Arabidopsis thaliana: one gene and its partners. The protein of the gene in region 1 interacts with the protein of each later gene in a pairwise test. Each region holds a gene or a part of one and is shown on either strand. Other genes may lie near its edges. The genes, in order: HHP1, AT1G06890, AT1G71940 and AT4G32600.

The links.
Region 2: the proteins of HHP1 (region 1) and AT1G06890 interact in a protein complementation assay, tested with the Arabidopsis thaliana proteins (one large-scale study listed by BioGRID).
Region 3: the proteins of HHP1 (region 1) and AT1G71940 interact in a protein complementation assay, tested with the Arabidopsis thaliana proteins (one large-scale study listed by BioGRID).
Region 4: the proteins of HHP1 (region 1) and AT4G32600 interact in a protein complementation assay, tested with the Arabidopsis thaliana proteins (one large-scale study listed by BioGRID).

Annotation. Positions count from the first base shown.
Region 1 is NC_003076.8:6,840,309-6,844,657, reverse strand, and holds HHP1 (heptahelical transmembrane protein1), read left to right. Parts: upstream 1-1,711; 5' UTR 1,712-2,001; coding exon 2,002-2,303; intron 2,304-2,384; coding exon 2,385-2,460; intron 2,461-3,012; coding exon 3,013-3,633; 3' UTR 3,634-3,825; downstream 3,826-4,349. UniProt on the Arabidopsis thaliana protein: May act as a negative regulator of abscisic acid (ABA)-mediated osmotic stress signaling and function in cross-talk between cold and osmotic signaling.
Region 2 is NC_003070.9:2,110,769-2,116,454, reverse strand, and holds AT1G06890 (nodulin MtN21 /EamA-like transporter family protein), read left to right. Parts: upstream 1-1,768; 5' UTR 1,769-2,019; intron 2,020-2,020; exon of another isoform or gene 2,021-2,231; 5' UTR 2,232-2,281; intron 2,282-2,365; 5' UTR 2,366-2,416; coding exon 2,417-2,537; intron 2,538-3,033; coding exon 3,034-3,218; intron 3,219-3,316; coding exon 3,317-3,384; intron 3,385-3,616; coding exon 3,617-3,749; intron 3,750-3,855; coding exon 3,856-4,017; intron 4,018-4,118; coding exon 4,119-4,391; intron 4,392-4,595; coding exon 4,596-4,727; 3' UTR 4,728-4,849; coding exon of another isoform or gene 4,850-4,870; 3' UTR 4,871-5,132; downstream 5,133-5,686. Other genes in the region: AT1G06900 (Insulinase (Peptidase family M16) family protein), read left to right, coding at 59-262, 378-481, 572-725, 813-934, 1,057-1,300. UniProt on the Arabidopsis thaliana protein: Nucleotide-sugar transporter that transports UDP-xylose and UMP in a strict counter-exchange mode.
Region 3 is NC_003070.9:27,076,589-27,080,784, forward strand, and holds AT1G71940 (SNARE associated Golgi protein family), read left to right. Parts: upstream 1-1,935; 5' UTR 1,936-2,192; coding exon 2,193-2,437; intron 2,438-2,560; coding exon 2,561-2,831; intron 2,832-2,917; coding exon 2,918-3,088; intron 3,089-3,228; coding exon 3,229-3,287; coding exon of another isoform or gene 3,288-3,360; coding exon 3,361-3,488; exon of another isoform or gene 3,489-3,556; coding exon 3,557-3,603; 3' UTR 3,604-3,660; downstream 3,661-4,196. Other genes in the region: VND7 (vascular related NAC-domain protein 7), read left to right, coding at 198-469, 705-1,241; AT1G71950 (Proteinase inhibitor, propeptide), read right to left, coding at 3,865-3,950.
Region 4 is NC_003075.7:15,721,544-15,726,695, forward strand, and holds AT4G32600 (C3H4 type zinc finger protein), read left to right. Parts: upstream 1-1,801; 5' UTR 1,802-2,131; exon of another isoform or gene 2,132-2,267; intron 2,268-2,376; exon of another isoform or gene 2,377-2,414; 5' UTR 2,415-2,466; coding exon 2,467-3,134; intron 3,135-3,330; coding exon 3,331-3,456; intron 3,457-3,549; coding exon 3,550-3,838; intron 3,839-3,915; coding exon 3,916-4,194; 3' UTR 4,195-4,598; downstream 4,599-5,152. Other genes in the region: AT4G32590 (2Fe-2S ferredoxin-like superfamily protein), read left to right, coding at 1-65, 151-264, 473-526, 695-757, 1,003-1,065, 1,182-1,238; AT4G32605 (Mitochondrial glycoprotein family protein), read right to left, coding at 4,886-5,069.

The DNA of each region.
Region 1 (4,349 bases):
GCAGTTATATCCAAAAGTAAAGATTACAAAAGATGTCGAGAAGATAAAGTCATTTTCTTCTTCAACCATATTTAACAAAATCTTAAGTTATGAATTAGTAATAAACTATTTTCCCAAGAAACTTAAACACACGTATATGGAGTTTGCGTATATGATTGCGATTCCTTGGGGGTGTTTCAGGAGTGACCTCTTTGGTTAATGTTTTCCCAAAAAGCCTAAGCCAACCCAAATCTTGAAAGACCAGAAAGCTACAACTATGGCCATTTTATCAGCTTTAATTTTAGATAACAAAACTGAATTTTGTAAGAGAAAAAATAAAGGTATGGCTATGGGACGCCGAGATGTTAATTACTATCTACATAATAACAACATATTTTTTTTTTTGAATTTAGTGTTAAATTATATTCAAAGAAAAATAAACTGTTTATATACAGAAATGCAAACTTTTCTTAAAAATAGATCAAAAGTATATCTTATTTATCTTTGATTTTGTTCTTGCCTAAAAGTAAACCACACTTGGATTCCTCTTGCGTACTTCTCTTCACATCTTACCCTCAACGTGCTTAATCCATTCCTTATGTTTTTGTCTATCAGCCTGATTATCTTCTTCGTCCTCGATGGCGTCTGTCCATATCTCCTCTCATTTCTTTCTCTCCATATAGAATGTATCGTGTTTTGAAACACATACCGAAGTACAAACCTTGTAGTGGCGTCAAGATCTTTACTCACTAACTCCTTCATAATAACAGCATAATAACATGTATTACATGAATGCATGTCACAAACGTTTATAATTCCCTTTTTTTTTGCCAACAAAACGTTTATAATTCCTTGTATGAAGATATTTTCGTCTAATTTTTAACATCCTTTTTTAGTTGATTTCCAAATAAATTATAAATTTGTTCTAAAGTTTAGTCATCTGCCTAATTAATTAACTTGAAGTTCTATATTGCTAGAGGCATTTAAAGGTCAAGTCCTTTTCAAGTGGTAACTCATTGAAAATGACACTAATGTTTTTTGCAACATTTCACAAGAAAAAAATAGAAATTTTCATGATTTTGGCTTTTGTGGTCTACTCTTTTAAAAAAAGGAATCCTTGAAATGTTTGCATGCTTGTTTTTAGTATCATTATTTTTGTTGTCATCCACTTGATGGAAAGAGCTTTGACACTTCTTTACCACAATCACTTCATAACTCATAACTACATTAAATTCTGTTGTTATCCTAACTTCTTCTGTTAAAAAAATTACTTAGAATTACACATAAGAACTCAAAAATGCAAATTTTCTAAAATTACTCGTCTATTTCAAGTAAAGTAAACCCCTCACCAATCTTAATTTCACACAGAATTTAATGTTGATTGAAGCATAGTAAAAGTCTAAATGAGTCCTTATTTTTTATTTTTACATCAAGAGTACTATTTTGTTTGCATCACATATCTTATATCTTTCTTATAAATACAAACGATCCGGTGGGTACAAGGCATCAATCATGTAAAAGAGGTACAAGCCGGTAGTGAATTTTGAGTCGGTCGGTCTTAAAATCGCCTAAATTTACTCTTCTCGTATTCAAAAGATTTTCCATATCTCAAAAAGTAGTGTAAAACTGAATCACTTTTCTTGTTAAAAAAAAATACAATAAAAACAAACGTAAGAGAAAGGGAAATGAAATAATAATAATCAAAAAAGAAGAATTTATTGATAACCTAACTAACAACTAAAAGATGAAAACACGACACCAACTTCTACCTGCATACTAAAGTTTCGTCTTTAAATGTTGCAGCTGTCTCCTTACATTTCACATCTTCCTTGTTTCTTCTCTCTCTCTCTCTCCCCTCAAACTTAAATTCACATTTTAATACTTGTTACTTCAACTATAATAATAATAATAATCTTTCTTCATTATATATTTTCCTCTCCTCTCAGATCTTCTCTCTCACCATCTTCTCTTGAGATCAAGATTGAGTATTCTTGTCTCAAGAATCGATACTCGAGAGCTCTTATGGACCAAAATGGTCATAACGACGAAGCAGAAACAGTTTCATGCGGCAACGGCAACTGCAAAAGCAAGATCGTGCCTGGAGATGATCACGGTGGAGATGAGAGTAGTGGTACCAAGAGAAGGAAGAAGAGAAAAACGCAACAAAAGACAATGAAACGACGTGAATTAATGTCGTATTGTGAGCTACCGGAGTACATGAAAGACAACGAATACATATTGAATTATTACAGAGCTGATTGGTCCATTAGAGATGCTTTCTTCAGCGTATTTAGTTTCCACAATGAGTCCCTCAATGTTTGGACGTAAGTACACCAAATTTTACTTCTAGTTTCAATTATTTTTTCTTCGATTTTTTTTTCTAATAGTTTTTTTTTTTTGGACAGACATTTGATTGGTTTTATCTTCTTTGTGGCACTAACCGTCGCCAATATTATTCATCACGACGGATTCTTCCCCGTGGTAAGTGTCCTTTAATCAACACGTTTATTTTTGTTTTTGTTTAATAATCGCAAGTTTAGCCCGAATTTCAATTTATTCCCTCGAGATCCACATGCAACCACTATATTAACTTCAAATTAGTCAAGTGAATGTGTCAAGTAATTAGATATATACCTAATTGGTTTTGATTAACTTATCTTAATTTTCTAATGAATTGTTCGTTGCTATACCTGGATTTTGTTATGATGATTTTGAATAAGATATCAAAGATATATAGACATGAATCGAAATGATGAATAAAATCTTTGACAATATTACATTGACTATAATTTGTTTTCTGTAGTATATTCTAAACAACTCAATAAAATGTAATTCTTTTAAGGATTATATATCAGCTCAAATCTATTATTTAATCACATATCTAAACAACTGAAGAAAATGTATTTCTTAACTAGATTAGAAATCAACTCAAATATGTTATTTGATCATATATCTAGTATATGTTTTTTTAGTATCTCAAACTAGTCAATAAAAATGTAAAGCTAATGGTGGTATCAATGTTGATGATTGTAGGATGCAAAGAGTCCAGGGAATGTAACAAGATGGCCCTTCTTCGTTTTCTTAGGAGGCTCAATGTTCTGCCTACTCGCAAGCAGCATTTGTCACCTCTTCTGTTGCCACTCAAAAGAGCTTAATGTCTTCCTTCTCCGAATAGACTATGCCGGTATCACCGCCATGATCATCACTTCCTTCTTCCCACCAATCTTCTACATCTTCCAGTGCACTCCTCGGTGGTACTTCATCTACCTCGCAGGCATCACATCCATGGGAATCTTCACAATCATCACACTTTTCACCCCATCACTTTCCGCTCCCAAGTACCGAGCTTTCCGCGCTTTGCTCTTTGCCTCCATGGGGCTGTTTGGGATTGTCCCAGCTGCCCACGCGCTAGTGGTCAATTGGGGAAACCCGCAAAGGAACGTGACGCTCGTGTACGAGTTGCTTATGGCAGTGTTCTATCTTGTTGGAACAGGATTCTACGTAGGGAGAGTGCCAGAAAGGCTTAAACCGGGATGGTTTGATCGTGTGGGACATAGTCATCAGATCTTCCATGTGTTCGTTTTGTTGGGTGCTTTGTCTCACTATGCAGCTGCTCTCTTGTTCTTGGACTGGCGTGACCACGTTGGTTGTTAAACCATATATTTGTAATTCTTTTAAATATAATATTATTAATTTGTTGTATCGTGGTGAACAAAATTGTAATAACCCATTTGTTTTAAATTGAATTGTAATTCAACTTGTGTTAATTGTTATGTTTGTTGAATATGCATGATTTTCAGAAGTCTTTTTCTCTATGAGAAGTTAATGGTAAATCAAATATTTGCCACTGAATAGTTTCGTTTTTGAATATGATGACTTCAATTGTTTGTTTGCTTTATATCATGAAAGCAAACAGAATTGAAAAGACATAAAAAAAAATTGATGTAAACACAAAAGCAAAAATTGACGGTTGAAACAACCAATGATTTGTTTTATAAAAAAAAAAAAAAACCAATGATGCAAAGGATGGACTTCATGCATGGTTGATGGTTCTTTCATCTATCTACATGCGCACTTAGCTTAGTGTCAGGATTCCCTAACCACAAGAGAATTAATATGTATATATGCACCATCAAATGTTCATCAAAGTCTCCGCTTCCTTTTTCATTCTTCATAGCCGAGTCCTCTTATTATTGCTTCAAAGTTTTTTTGTTCTTTTTGATTTGATATAAATATATGTGTTACTAGGTTATACAGGTGTTAATTAGATGCAAGACAAGGATTGATCAGACATAAACATAATTAAAGACCAAGCTTCACTCTGTAACTAGACTCTTGATCGATAATGCGTGAACGGACCCAAACTCTTT
Region 2 (5,686 bases), on another chromosome or scaffold:
TTCTCTGGTTTTGTTTAAATTGGGCAAAGGTCATGTAATACCTCTGTTATGTTTTCAGATATTTATTGAGGCTCTATGTCATGGTAATTTGTCCGAAGACGAAGCAGTGAACATATCAAACATTTTCAAAGACAGTTTGACGGTTGAACCACTCCCAAGCAAATGTAGACATGGTGAACAGATAACATGTTTCCCTATGGGTGCCAAACTTGTGAGAGATGTCAATGTGAAGAACAAATCTGAAACAAACTCAGTAGTCGAGGTAAAAAGGAAACAGTATTTTCTTGTGATAAGAGTCAGCCAAGAAGAGTTGAAAACATTGTACTTTCCTCGGGTATAATCATGGTTTTGAATTTTAACCTGCATCTGATTTGCAGCTTTACTATCAAATCGAGCCTGAAGAAGCTCAATCAACGAGAACGAAAGCTGTGCTGGATCTCTTTCATGAAATCATAGAAGAGCCATTGTTCAATCAGTTGAGGTTAGTCATCACATGTTTACCTAGTTTTTTTAATAGATCAAAATTGTATTCATGTATAGTCACACATATATATACATATTTTGGATATAGGACAAAGGAGCAGCTTGGTTATGTTGTCGAGTGTGGCCCTCGCTTAACGTATCGTGTGCACGGTTTCTGTTTCTGTGTTCAATCTTCTAAGTACGGTCCAGTTCATTTGCTGGGGAGAGTTGACAATTTCATAAAAGATATCGAAGGGCTTCTGGTAAGTCTGTAATCAAAAAGAATATATTGATTTTTTTTGTTAAATCTTTACCTCGCTCCACATATGTTAATCGGACTGTAATTGCAGGAACAACTGGATGATGAATCCTATGAAGATTACCGAAGTGGTATGATTGCTAGATTGCTGGAAAAGGATCCCTCTCTCTTGTCCGAGACAAATGACTTATGGAGTCAGATTGTTGACAAAAGGTAAGGATCTCAAGGGTTTGAAGTTATGTGACCTGTAGTATCTATAGAACTTTCAATGATTTACTTGGATCCATATCCACAACGGTCACTGGCGAATGAAAATGGAGTTAACTCTCTCACAGGTACATGTTTGATTTCTCCCACAAAGAAGCAGAAGAACTAAGAAGTATACAGAAGAAAGATGTGATCAGTTGGTACAAAACCTATTTCAGAGAATCATCACCCAAATGTCGTAGGCTTGCGGTAAGGGTTTGGGGATGCGATACCAATATGAAAGAAACTCAAACAGATCAAAAGGCGGTGCAGGTCATCGCAGACGCAGTGGCTTTCAAGTCAACTTCTAAGTTTTACCCCAGCCTTTGCTAATGAGAAGAAACATACAAAAGAGTTTTGCTTCGTCTTCCCTTTTTTTTATCTTTTATATTTTGATTCACTCAATTTTCTTCATACCCTCATTGGATAGGTTATACTTTTGGGTGACAAACACCAAAAATATCCCTTTTTGTTACGATTTGAGAATACGCTTTTTAAATTATTATTTTTATCTGGTGGATAATTTGATATTTATTGATTAGAAAAGCATTATCTTATACAATGTATAGATTTCATTTACCCAAAAAGAAGCAGCAAAACTAAAAAACAGACAGAAAAAAAAAGTTATCAATCGATAAAAACTTACTTCAAATAACCATCGAAACTCTCACTAAGAAAAATCCCATTTGGAACAATTTTCTCCTTAATGACAGGTATATGTCCACTGGAACAATAAATGAAAAGAAAGTATAAAATGACCTTTGATTGTACAGTGAATGTCTTACATAAATAACCAACGGTAAAAAATCAAATGTGAACGTGGATCATGAATAGCTTGTTTGATAATTACGATTATATCCCGCGGTTAATTTCTCTCTGGTAGGGCCTATCAAACGTAGAAAGCGAAAACTATCTTTCTTCTTCCTCTCTCTCACTATTTTTCTCTGTACGGTGGTGAGTGAAGACCATCAAAAATTGCAGAAAATAGGCTTAATCTGAATCTCTTCTCCTCCGTCGAAGTTTTGAATTCTCTCTGGTTCTCCAATTCTCCTGTGAGTCTCTCTCTCTCTCTCTTCCCTCTTTCTCCTTCCTTATGTTCTCCTTGTTTCATTTCGCGTCTCTTGAATTTTGCCTTCAACTGATTTCTTTGATCTCTGTCTCATAACGGCAGATCTAGGGTTTATGGCTTCTGGCTTTCAATAAATCTCCTTCGTTCTCCCACTCTTTTATCTAACGAGTTTCTATTTTCTCCATTTTGCTTCAGCTCGAGCTGCCTTAAGCTTCGCATTTACGTTTACGTTATGCACGAATGAGGTTCGTTTTCTCCAGATCGCTCTTGTTTTCTTCACGTTTTACTGTCTACCGTTATCATTCCTTGTATAATTTTTGGTGGATTAGATCATCGTAGATCGTGATTGAAGAAGCGAGAGATAAATTAGGAGAGCGAAGATGAGCGAGGGCCAGAAGTTCCAGTTGGGAACAATCGGCGCTTTGAGTTTGTCCGTTGTGTCATCTGTCTCGATTGTGATCTGTAACAAAGCGCTTATTAGCACCCTTGGCTTCACATTCGGTAACCTTTTCAATTCTTCCTTCACTGTTACAGGCTCCTTTGATTATCCATGTTGCGCTGCTGATATTGTTTCCTCTGGATCTATTCTTGTGTTTGTATACTAATGCTTACTCTGCGCGATTCGTTTCGAGCCTTCTCTTATTTGATGAAATTGAGGAATAGATTGTTGATCATTTTACTTCATACTATGTTCTGAATTGTCTGTTGGTTATATTTTAGGTCCCTTATGGTACATAAACGAGAATTGCCTTCATGATTGTATATGTTTAAGATTGTTTCTTATCGCTTTAGAATTTAGGTGCTCCTCTTCTTTTCTGTATGACTCAATATTCTTTCCTAGGATACACCATTGATTCTTATGTAGTATTATTATACTTGCAAGACACTGTTTTATCCCATTTTGATGTCTGTGTTGCCATAACAGCTTTTATGTCATCTTATGCAATTTTGATCTCATAAGCTATCTGTTCTTACTCTTGTTATTTTGTATGTACAGCGACTACTTTGACAAGTTGGCATCTTTTGGTCACATTTTGTTCCCTTCATGTGGCATTATGGATGAAGATGTTCGAACACAAGCCTTTTGATCCACGAGCTGTGATGGGATTTGGCATATTGAATGGGATATCCATAGGACTATTGAACCTCAGCCTGGGCTTTAATTCTGTCGGTTTTTACCAGGTATAGCTTTTTCCATTTCAGTTACTGCATGATGTGATATCCATTTTTAACTAGTGTTGTTCTAATTTCTAACCCATCTTCTGTTCCGTTGATAATAGATGACTAAACTAGCTATCATCCCCTGCACTGTTCTCTTGGAGACCCTCTTCTTCAGGAAAAAGTTCAGGTTAGCACTCAAATTCTCTTCCATTAACACGTGAATAATTATTGATTTGGAGGAAGCTGTTTTACATGACATCTATATTTTTCTTATGGTCATGCATTTCTGGTTGACTTAATCCAAAGTTCTAATTTTATATACTGTGTAATAGTTGAGCAACTTAGTGATAGCGTTATGTCTCTCGCTAGTTTGTGGTCAAGGGCCTAGTTAATGACACCCTTATTTTTTTTCTTTGCAGTCGAAAAATCCAGTTTTCATTAACCATCCTTCTCCTTGGTGTTGGAATTGCAACCGTCACAGATCTTCAACTTAATATGCTGGGTTCTGTCTTGTCGCTGCTGGCTGTTGTCACAACTTGTGTTGCTCAAATTGTATCCTATGCCTAGCCTTTGGTTTCTCATTGCTTTATTCTTTCACCTTTCTATATATCTTGTCTTAAACCAATTCGATGCTGTTATCTTAACCAATTGTACACAGATGACAAATACCATCCAGAAGAAGTTCAAAGTTTCATCCACGCAGCTTCTGTATCAGTCTTGCCCATATCAAGCAATCACTCTTTTCGTCACTGGGCCATTTTTAGATGGGCTCCTAACCAATCAGAACGTGTTTGCTTTCAAGTACACTTCTCAAGTAGTGGTGAGACTCAATTTCCCGGGGATTCTACCAAACTTATTAACTGATCTTCTTGCTTCCATGTCGATCCTGCATATTAACGAGTGCTTCTTTGTTGATTGCAGTTCTTCATCGTCCTGTCTTGCCTCATATCAGTCTCTGTAAACTTCAGCACATTTCTTGTCATTGGAAAAACATCTCCTGTCACATATCAGGTTCTAGGACATCTCAAAACATGCCTGGTTCTAGCATTTGGCTATGTGTTGCTGCGAGACCCATTCGACTGGCGCAACATTCTCGGTATTCTAGTGGCTGTGATTGGAATGGTTGTTTATTCCTATTACTGCTCGATTGAGACTCAGCAGAAGGCAAGTGAAACCTCAACTCAGTTGCCTCAGGTATATTTCTTCATCTCTCTGTTCCCTCTAATATATTTCTGTTGGTAATTAGATGAGTCCCTCAAATCATATTCCTTTTTATAGTACCATTGATTTTGCAATTAGATTGCTATAAAAAAGCATCAGTATCATAGGCTTTTTTCAGGTCTATCTATATATACTGACTTGTTATATTGCTTAATTTGGTTTACTCGGGTTTGTCAGATGAAAGAGAGCGAGAAGGATCCGCTAATAGCAGCTGAAAATGGAAGCGGAGTGTTATCAGATGGCGGCGGGGGAGTGCAGCAAAAGACGGTGGCTCCTGTATGGAACTCAAATAAAGATTTTCAAGCCTAAAAGCTTTGATCATCGCTATTTTTTTATATAATATCAAACTCTCTTTGTATTGTCCCCAAAAAAACACAAACTTTTTAATTTCTCTTTTTTTTTTTTTTTGTTCCCTTTTTAAATATGCATAGCAGAGAAGTAGGGGAGACTGAAAAATCAACAAACCTTCCACACCATATGGAAAAAAAGAAGAAAGTAGAGAGTGAGGGGAAGAAAAGGGAACAGCTTTGATGATCCATTTTATTATACACAGCAGCTCTCTTTTTTTTTTTTTTTTTTTTTTGGATTTAGTATTACAACTCTGTATTCAAAAGGCTGTGGCTATATTCATCAACACTGAAAACATATATTTGATTTTTAGACTCTTTTCTATGAATCTACACAACTCATTCTAGCTTTCTTACCAACTTGTCCCAATTCTTATTCAGTTATTCCATATCTTGACCAAACCATTTTGATGAGAGTAAAAAAAAAGGTTTCTGGTATTTATTTTAAAACATAGCGTAAGGTTCAACAAAGCACCAGTGGTCTAGTGGTAGAATAGTACCCTGCCACGGTACAGACCCGGGTTCGATTCCCGGCTGGTGCATGAGCTGTGATGAAATTGGCTTTAGTATTGGTTGGGTCCAATGCATTCTCCTGAATATCAGATGATTTCGCCTACTCTGAGCTCTATTTTTAATTTTTATTTTTGAAATATTGCATTTTAAGTTTATACAAACTATTAATATCTTGTATCTGCCAAAATAGCCTGCAAATTCCACAGAACCAATTATGTTCAAGAGCTTGAGAACAGAACGTTTACAGGATTCTTCACATTAAATACTCAAAAAAGAAAGTTTACCCTTTTATGTTTGACAGCTACTGCCAATTACACTGGATGCATTTAGGTTTCAACACATCAAAAAAAATCAAAGCAAAAATATCAATTTTCTTGTTCTTTTTATATGGATTTCCCAGTGCATTCC
Region 3 (4,196 bases), on another chromosome or scaffold:
TAGTACAATCATAAATCATAATACTTCTTTTGAAATTAAACCGGTTGAAAAGTATAATCATATCACATTTAGAAATTACTTTACTACATAATTTTCAATATTCTCTTTTTTTTTTAAAGAAACATAAAATTTCTAATATTTTGACCTTTTGTAATGTAAGAAATTTATGACATTAATATTTAGTTTTACATTTGCAGCGAGGTGTAAACTAGGGTATGAAGAGCAAAACGAGTGGTACTTCTTTAGTCATAAGGACAGGAAGTACCCTACCGGGACTAGGACCAACCGAGCCACTGCGGCTGGGTTCTGGAAAGCCACGGGTAGAGACAAGGCGGTACTATCAAAAAACAGTGTCATCGGAATGCGGAAGACACTTGTCTACTACAAGGGTCGAGCTCCTAATGGAAGAAAGTCCGATTGGATCATGCACGAATACCGTCTCCAAAACTCCGAGCTTGCCCCGGTTCAGGTATACACATTGAAAGACTCTGACTGATACGCGATTCACTATCAAAGCAATCATCCAAAAACTACTAATAAATAGTACAATACATACTCCGTCTATCAAACCTAAGCAATAATGTTACATGTTTGACGACATTTGATTCAATAATGTTTAAAATTAAAAAAAAAGAAAAAAAAAAAAAACAGGACTAAATCAATAACTTGTTATCTAAATAACTTTATATGTTTGTGAACTATAGGAGGAAGGCTGGGTGGTGTGTCGAGCATTTAGGAAGCCAATTCCAAACCAGAGGCCATTAGGGTACGAGCCATGGCAGAACCAGCTCTACCACGTCGAAAGTAGTAACAACTACTCATCTTCAGTGACAATGAACACGAGTCATCATATCGGTGCATCTTCATCAAGTCATAACCTTAATCAAATGCTCATGAGCAATAACCACTACAATCCTAATAATACATCCTCATCGATGCATCAATATGGCAACATTGAGCTCCCGCAGTTGGACAGCCCGAGCTTGTCGCCTAGTTTAGGGACGAATAAAGATCAGAACGAGAGTTTCGAGCAAGAAGAAGAGAAGAGCTTTAACTGTGTGGATTGGAGAACACTAGATACCTTGCTTGAGACACAAGTCATACATCCGCATAACCCTAATATTCTTATGTTCGAAACGCAGTCGTATAATCCGGCGCCAAGCTTCCCTTCCATGCATCAAAGCTATAATGAGGTCGAAGCTAATATTCATCATTCTCTTGGATGCTTCCCTGACTCGTAATTAAAAAAAAACACACTTCTATATATTGATTTGTATTCTATGATTTAATTGTTCCATCTGGAAAATAACATTTATAACTGTCTATTTGTAAAAGAAGTTTGTGTTTATTACGTAGAAATTTGTTGTTGAATTTCACAAAGGTGGATTTGTTTTTTTTAAAAATTAGTCCCTTTGTTTTTCTATTCATTTATTCTGTTGTCCAAATTTGTAACTCATCCATACATTCTACCCCCATTAATTTTTTATTTGAGTGGTGGCCTATTAGTTAAGAGAACTTGTAATTTCTGATCAGACTCCTAACTTTCAAAATTTCAAATCAAACCTCAAATTTGTAACTCAAACCCAAAATGCACGATTTGAATCGAAATCATATGTTCACCATGTATATAATTAATTAATGTACGTATTAATATGTACTACAAATGTTTACATGTGAAGAAGGTGATGAAAAAAAACAAAAAAAAAACATAAACACAAAAAACTTTTTATTCATATTTTTTAAAAAATTGACCATGATCAATATTGAGCATATAATAATAAATAAAAAAAATGAGTTAAAAAATAAATTTAATTGAGAAACCCTCTCATCGAGTAAGAGGTTTCAATTAAGAAGTCCAAGTCAAAACCTTCTGATCCACGTAGAAGGTCTTAAAAGCCACCGTCAAAAATCTACAAGGCCAACACGTTTGCCGTTAAAAATTAATTTCTAATTTCTTCTTCTTCTTCTTCGTACGTTAATTAAAATCTGAAGAAACAAAATCGTGAAATCGATCTCTTTAAGCATCATCTAGGGTTCATCACTGAAATCAAAAATGCAATTAAATCTCTACAAAATCTCTCAGATCTAATCCCAGATCGTTGTTGGTTTCTTCTCCGTAAACCAATCCCACATATGAATTAAAGATTCGATCTCGAAATCGTTGGCTTTTGTTGTTGTTGCATTCTTCGGTGATGGCTCCGACTCGGATTCTAACCAGAGACGAAGAGCTTGGTGTTATTTCAGACGATGATGATTCTCCATCGGGTAAAAGATCTAAACTTGATCGCTTCCCTCTTAGCCGTTGGGAACTCGCCGTTTCTCTCGGTGTCTTCCTCGTCTTCTCCTCTGGACTCTGTTGTATCTACATGACCATGCCTGCTGCTGAATTTGGCAAACTCAAACTTCCAAGAAGCCTCGCTGATCTCCGTTTGCTCAAGTAACTTTCTTTCTAATCTTACGACTCAATTTTTGTAGCCAATTAGGAGAATTTACTGATTAGTGTTGGTGTCATGATTGGAATTGACAAAATCTGTAATCTTTCTTGTTGTTGATGTTTCAGAGATAATCTAGCAAATTATGCGAATGAGTATCCGGCGCAGTTTGTTTTAGGGTATTGTGCAACGTACATTTTTATGCAGACCTTTATGATTCCAGGGACTATCTTCATGTCACTATTAGCTGGAGCTCTCTTTGGAGTATTCAAAGGTGTTGTCTTGGTTGTTTTCAATGCAACAGCAGGAGCTACCTCGTGTTTCTTTTTGTCGAAATTGATTGGTCGGCCGTTGATTACTTGGCTATGGCCTGACAAATTAAGATTCTTTCAAGCAGAGGTAAGTCTCTTTGTTGTGTTGATGAAATGATCTTTGTGAAAGTTCTTGACTTGGTACTGATTAAGTTGTGGTTTTATACCTTTCAGATTAGTAAGCGTAGAGATAAGCTTCTGAACTATATGTTGTTTCTGAGGATAACACCAACTCTGCCAAATCTTTTTATCAATCTTGCATCTCCTATAGTCGATGTACCTTTCCATGTCTTCTTTTTGGCGACATTGATTGGTCTCATTCCTGCAGCTTATATAACTGTCAGAGTAAGCTCTTTTACCTCCATCCTTCACCATCTTTCCGCTTATGATATGCTATCATTCAACATTCCTGTGTTTCATCTCTTTTCGCCATCTACATAAAGTGCGAAGAACATGGCTTTAAATTCTGGTTCTGTTTATTGCAGGCTGGCCTTGCTATTGGAGATCTCAAATCGGTGAAAGATCTGTATGATTTCAAGACATTGTCAGTGCTTTTCCTCATCGGGTTTATCTCTATTCTTCCAACGATACTGAAAAGAAAGAAGATTGTTGAATAGCCAGGGAGAAGCATCTTTACAATACACATGGCCTAACATTCAATGCCATACAGAGAACAAGAATACACTTAACTTGTTTAGAGGACACAACAGAACAAAACTTCTGATTCGTTTACTTGTCACTTGTCGTAACGATTCGTTGATAGTTTTTTTGTTGTCATATTTTCTTACTATTTGGCAAGTAGAGGTTGAGAAGAAATTACAGAAATAATACAATTTTTTGTACAAGACGAGAGACCATGAAATATTTTGGTTCTAGATTTATTATGATCGTTTCTTTTCAGAATTTAACCATCTGAAATTGGAACTAGAAGAAACATTTATCTTAGAATAATATATTGACAAAAACTCAGTTACTCAACAACACAGAACAACTCGAATCAAAGCAACTTCATAACATTATTTTAGTTAGATACTTGGTTCAAAGTCACAACAATACAACAACAGACTAGTTTCTGTAAAGCAACAGGTTTAGTTGAGAAGTAGAGAATACACAAAGTCAAGTTAGGTCAACTTGAAACCACCACCACCACCAGGTTTGTGCAGCTGATAAGTCTGGCTTGGCACAACTTGAATCACACCTGGTTGTTCTGCAACATCCAAATCCCCAAAAGCATATAAGAAAAACAGAACAAAGACAAAAAAAAAAAACATTGATCAAGTTGAAAACTTTATCCTGTTTTTCCTAAGCCTACATACACAAAATCGTGCATTCATGACTATATGATTCTATTTCTACAGGTTCACATGCGCCTATCTTAACCTGACAGAAACATTCAAACATCACAAATCATGGAACAGTTTATGAACTTGGACTAAAAATGGAATTTACTTCA
Region 4 (5,152 bases), on another chromosome or scaffold:
AAGCATCATCTCCTCAGGGGATTTCTGCAGTGACGCCTCTTGAGATAGAGCTCGAGTTCTTCGGTGTAACTCTCGGCGCGATTTTCTCGTCGATTATTGATACAATTCGTTTCAAAACTCAGAAGAGACTTTTCGTTTTTTTCTTTGCAGCCGAAGCCGGGTAGCGACGGGTCATATCCGGTAGATAAAGCAAAGGCTGTGAGTGGAGATAAGCTTCTCAGAAGCATTATGCAGGATAACAAAATTGAACTCTACGCTGCTTACGTGAGTTATGTTGATTTCTCTCTCTTTAATTACGAAATTTAACTTCAGATTTTCTCAATCTTAATACATTGATTGATTTGATGTTTGAACTAGTTTCTGGAATAATTTAGTAGACAATGAAAATATTTAGTTCTAGATTTTGATGTGAGGAGATGGTTTGTTGAAGGCTTATGTAAACTTTGGATTTTGGTCAATTTGTGATGATTAGGGGAAAGTGATGAACTGTGGTGGTGGAGGAAGCTGTGGAACTTGCATTGTGGAGGCAAGTGACTTCATACAATGTTAATTAGATTCTGATTATGAATTTATGAGCTATGATTGTTCTAGCATTCATGGATATCAATGGAGGAAAATAGATTTGTGTTTGGTCTTCTTATGATGACCAGTAACTCAAAGCAAAAAAATACACATTTGGTCTTCTTGTGTGCAGATACTCGATGGCAGAGATCTTCTGAATGAGAGAACAGATACAGAAAACCGGTACCTGAAAAAGGCTAGTTATTTGATCACTCCTCTCTATATTATTGTTAGATTCACAAGTTTCTCATTGCTAGTGTTTGGAATGGGTATGTGCACTAACAAGATGAATGAAATGTTGAGCATTGTTTCTGGTTAAATGTGAATATATGTTTTGTTGTCTGATATGGTTACTAAGTAACTTTTCTTAGATATGCAAATTTTGGATAAAATAAGAGCCTTGGCTGTTTAAATCTTAAGGGTTTTGTTACTATTGTGCAGAAGCCGGAATCTTGGAGACTCGCATGTCAAACAATAGTAGGGAACAAAGAAAACTCAGGAAAGGTACCTACTTTCATACACCAATTTATGCATATGCAAATTGCAAACGCTAATGTGCCCATTATTTGGGATCATAAGAGTTTATTTTTCCTTTTTATGATCTTTCTCATTGAGAAAAGTCGGCTTTGGATATAGGTTGTCGTGCAGCGGATTCCACAGTGGAAGAAGTGAATTAATGTAAAGGTTATTTGTCTCAGATTTATGTGTATATAACACATCTCTGTATGAATGTTGTCTCGTATTAATGGAAGATTCGTTTGTCTAGACGTATTTTTCTTTAGTTCTTGGATATGTGGTGCCATGATAGTGAAATTTAAGAGAGAAACTATCAACTAGCTCGCATGATTGAAATGTTTAAAATTTGCTTAAAGATACGGTAGGAGTGAAGCTGGTCAGAAGATTCGGTAGGAAGTGTTTTTATGATGATCTGAAAATCAGTAGCATGTTTTACCTTTTTGAGCTGAAAATGGCATTTGTTTCTTAAGCTTTGAAAACGTGTTTCTAAAAAATAAGAACTTGGTTTAGTATTCGAACCGTTTCTTTGACAACTTTCAGATCACTTTATTTATCGAATGTCACCGAAGAGACAACTTTCAGAACATCTAATTAGATTACGCGCCGCCCCGTAAAACAGGGGTAAAGTCAAAAAGCAATATCTTCTCATTTTTACTTTTTACTTTTTTCTTGTTGAGGGAAAATATAAAGAGGAAGGAGCCAAAGAAAGCATCACTATCTGAATTTTTCTTTGTACATTTATTTATATATAATACTAGTTTTTGTGTGATTGCTGTTTGGCTCCGAATTTTATATCCATAATTTTTTTTTTTTAATCTCCCCTTGGTTGATCGGTGAACACAAAAAAAAAAATCTAAAATAATCGCAAAATACATTTGAAGAAGCTACACGATCAACAACAGCAAAGGATTTCGATTGTTGAAAAAGTTGACTCTTCTTAATTTGATTCGTTGTCTTGGTTTCTGGGTTTTCTTCTTCTTCTTCTGCGGCGCTCTCCAATTTTACACCTTGCGACCAGCGAGAAAAGAAACAAATTTCACCCCCATTGAAGAAGGTTTGTTTCCCCTAATTGCTTGATTTTATTCTGAGATTAATCCCAGGCGCCAATTATATGCTTCTGTTCTTCTGATAAATCTTTGCCCTTTTACGATTTTTCTTTGATTTTACCCTAGTTTTATGGTATAATCTGGGTGAGTTTCTTTCCTTTAATTCATGTATGATTAAGCTTGGATTGGTCGATTCTGATGAGTCAAAATCTTGAAACAGACATAAATTGATGATTTTTCGTGGTTGTTTTAGGTCATTTGAGGGTTTAAGCTTTCTTTGTGGATTTGCAGGACCTTTGGTTAAGCTCCATGGTGTGGTATGCGCAAAGTGGACAATACCTAGATGGGTGTTTCTCTTCTGAAACAACAACATCGTATTACAAATCAAGCTGATACTTTTTCTAGATTCATGGAAAGATCACCAGAGAATAATCTAAGCAGAAATGAGCACATCATCATTGACATTCCAAGAAATGCCGCCATTGCATCATCATCATCTTCTCATGATAGAATCTCAAATGTTTTGGAACCTTTACAACATGAGGAAGAGAGACCTTCTACTGTTTCTCCCATGGCTGCTCCTCAGCCAGCTACAGCTACAGCTTCTTCTTCTTCTTCTATGCGATCAAATCCTAGAAGTGTCCGTCGTAGAAGAAGTCCTTTGAATTCTGGCTTATGGATTTCTATTGAACTATTCCTCACTGTTGGTCAGATCATTGCAGCTATTGTCGTTTTGTCTTTGTCAAAACATGAGCATCCTCGTGCTCCTTTGTTCACTTGGATTGTTGGTTATGCGTGTGGATGCGTTGCTACACTCCCGCTTTTGTACTGGAGATATTATCATTCGAATCAGGCTTCTGAACAGGATTCTGGTCAGCACCGTCCTAATCTTAATGTTGCAGCAGGACCATTCGCCTTCTCGATATCCAGGACATCCGAAGCAGATGGTCGACAGACCAATACCACCTCTTCTCGTGGTAGTAGATATCCTGGGTTTATAAGTGCTGCCAGGTAAACACACATGTTCTTAGATGATCTGTTTCAACTGAAAGTTTGGATTTTGAATTACGTTTTCTCTCAAAGCTTTTCTTATTTTTGAGAATTGAGAGTTTAGATGTCTCTTTTGTTCTAAACTTTTTCTTTGTGTTGAAAATATCTGCAATCTAATTGAGTCAGTATGATTTTGGTCGTTGATTTTGGCTTCCAGACTTAAAGTTATCGTGGAATACTTCAAAATGGCTCTGGATTGCTTCTTTGCGGTGTGGTTTGTGGTAGGTAATGTATGGATATTTGGAGGGCATTCATCTGCTGCCGAGGCTCCTAACTTGTACAGGTGATATTCTTTTAGATATACAGCAATTAGACTCAAACATCAGACTGCATTTTCCAAGACTGACCCATATTTTTGTTCTCTTGTATGTTCTAGGTTATGTTTAGTGTTTCTTACCTTTAGCTGTATTGGCTACGCGATGCCCTTCATCCTCTGTACAACAATATGTTGCTGCTTGCCTTGCATAATCTCAATTCTCGGATATAGAGAAGATTTAACGCAACCTCGAGGTGCCACACCTGAGTCGATTAATGCGTTGCCGACTCATAAATTTAAGTTGAAGAAAAGCAGAAGTAATGGCGATGACAATGGTTCAAGTACTAGCGAAGGTGGAGTTGTGGCGGCTGGAACAGATAACGAACGAGCTATTTCAGGAGAGGACGCAGTGAGTTTCCTTACACTTTGAATTTACACATAAACACACAGATACAATCAAGTTGCTGAATATAAAAATATTTGCAGGTCTGTTGCATTTGCTTAGCGAAATATGCGAATAACGAGGAGTTAAGAGAGCTTCCATGCTCACATTTCTTCCACAAAGAGTGCGTTGACAAATGGCTGAAGATCAATGCCTCTTGCCCTCTATGCAAGAGCGAAGTTGGGGAGAAGAACTCTGATTTGACTAGCCAAGGGATCTTAACCTCGCTCTCTTCTGGGGAAAACGATAACCATCAACAACAGCAACAACAACAACGGAGTGAACTTAGAGTTGAGAATGGTTTGGCCAATAATGTTATCTAGATCTTCGAGATTTGCTCTATGTCCGAGAAAACGGCAAATTAGCCGTTTGGCGATGTTCCTACACAAAATGGGGTTTGCTTCTCATTGCTAAGAAGGTGAAGAAAGACACGGCGAAGATCCTGTTCTGTAAATGCTTTTTGCCGTTGTGAATTGGAACCTCTTGAGTGTAGAAGAGTTCGAGAATCGGTGATTGAGTTTGAGCGTGTTCCAAATACTTGTTTTTATTTATTCTCTGAATTTGTCACGAGTACCACCTCTATACGAGAGCCAGGGATCTTTCGAGACCTTGTGCAGCTAAAGTGCCTCATTCATGGTCTCTCTGCGAAAAATTAGAATAAACCAAATAAAATATTTATACCTTTATACTGGACCACAAAACTTTTAATGGCTTCAACGATTTTGTTATCTTAGTTTTTGAATTACTAGACACTGACTCGTTGGCTCGGTAAAATTAGTGTGAGAACCGGTAACTTACAAGAAGCATAAAGATCATAATAGTTTTGCCTTTAGTAGAGAGAGCTCACACAGTCGAATAGAGAACTTTTTCTTAACATTAATCTCGGATGCATATGTTTTGAAATGGTTTGAAAATAAAAGTGATTCAGTTCCTGAAACATTTAAAAGCGGTATAGTGCCATACTAAAAAAATTAACCGCAGAAACCGATCCAGAGACCGAAAAGACACGTCCTTCTAGGCGGTGTTTTCTGCAGATGGGTTTTCATGAACAAACGTGCCAACTGATTTGAACCATCGCAGTAGGTTACGGTGATCCTTTACATAGAGCCATGCCTGAAGAAAGGGGAAGAGACTCTCGTTCACACCTCGTTCCTCTAGGAATCCATGGAATACATCTCTCATCTTCTCATCGAGCTCTCTGTCAAAACAAATAGAAACACTTACTTGCCAATCGAGTGAATTTTCTATCAATTGTAAGTTACGCATTATCTTTAGAACAGA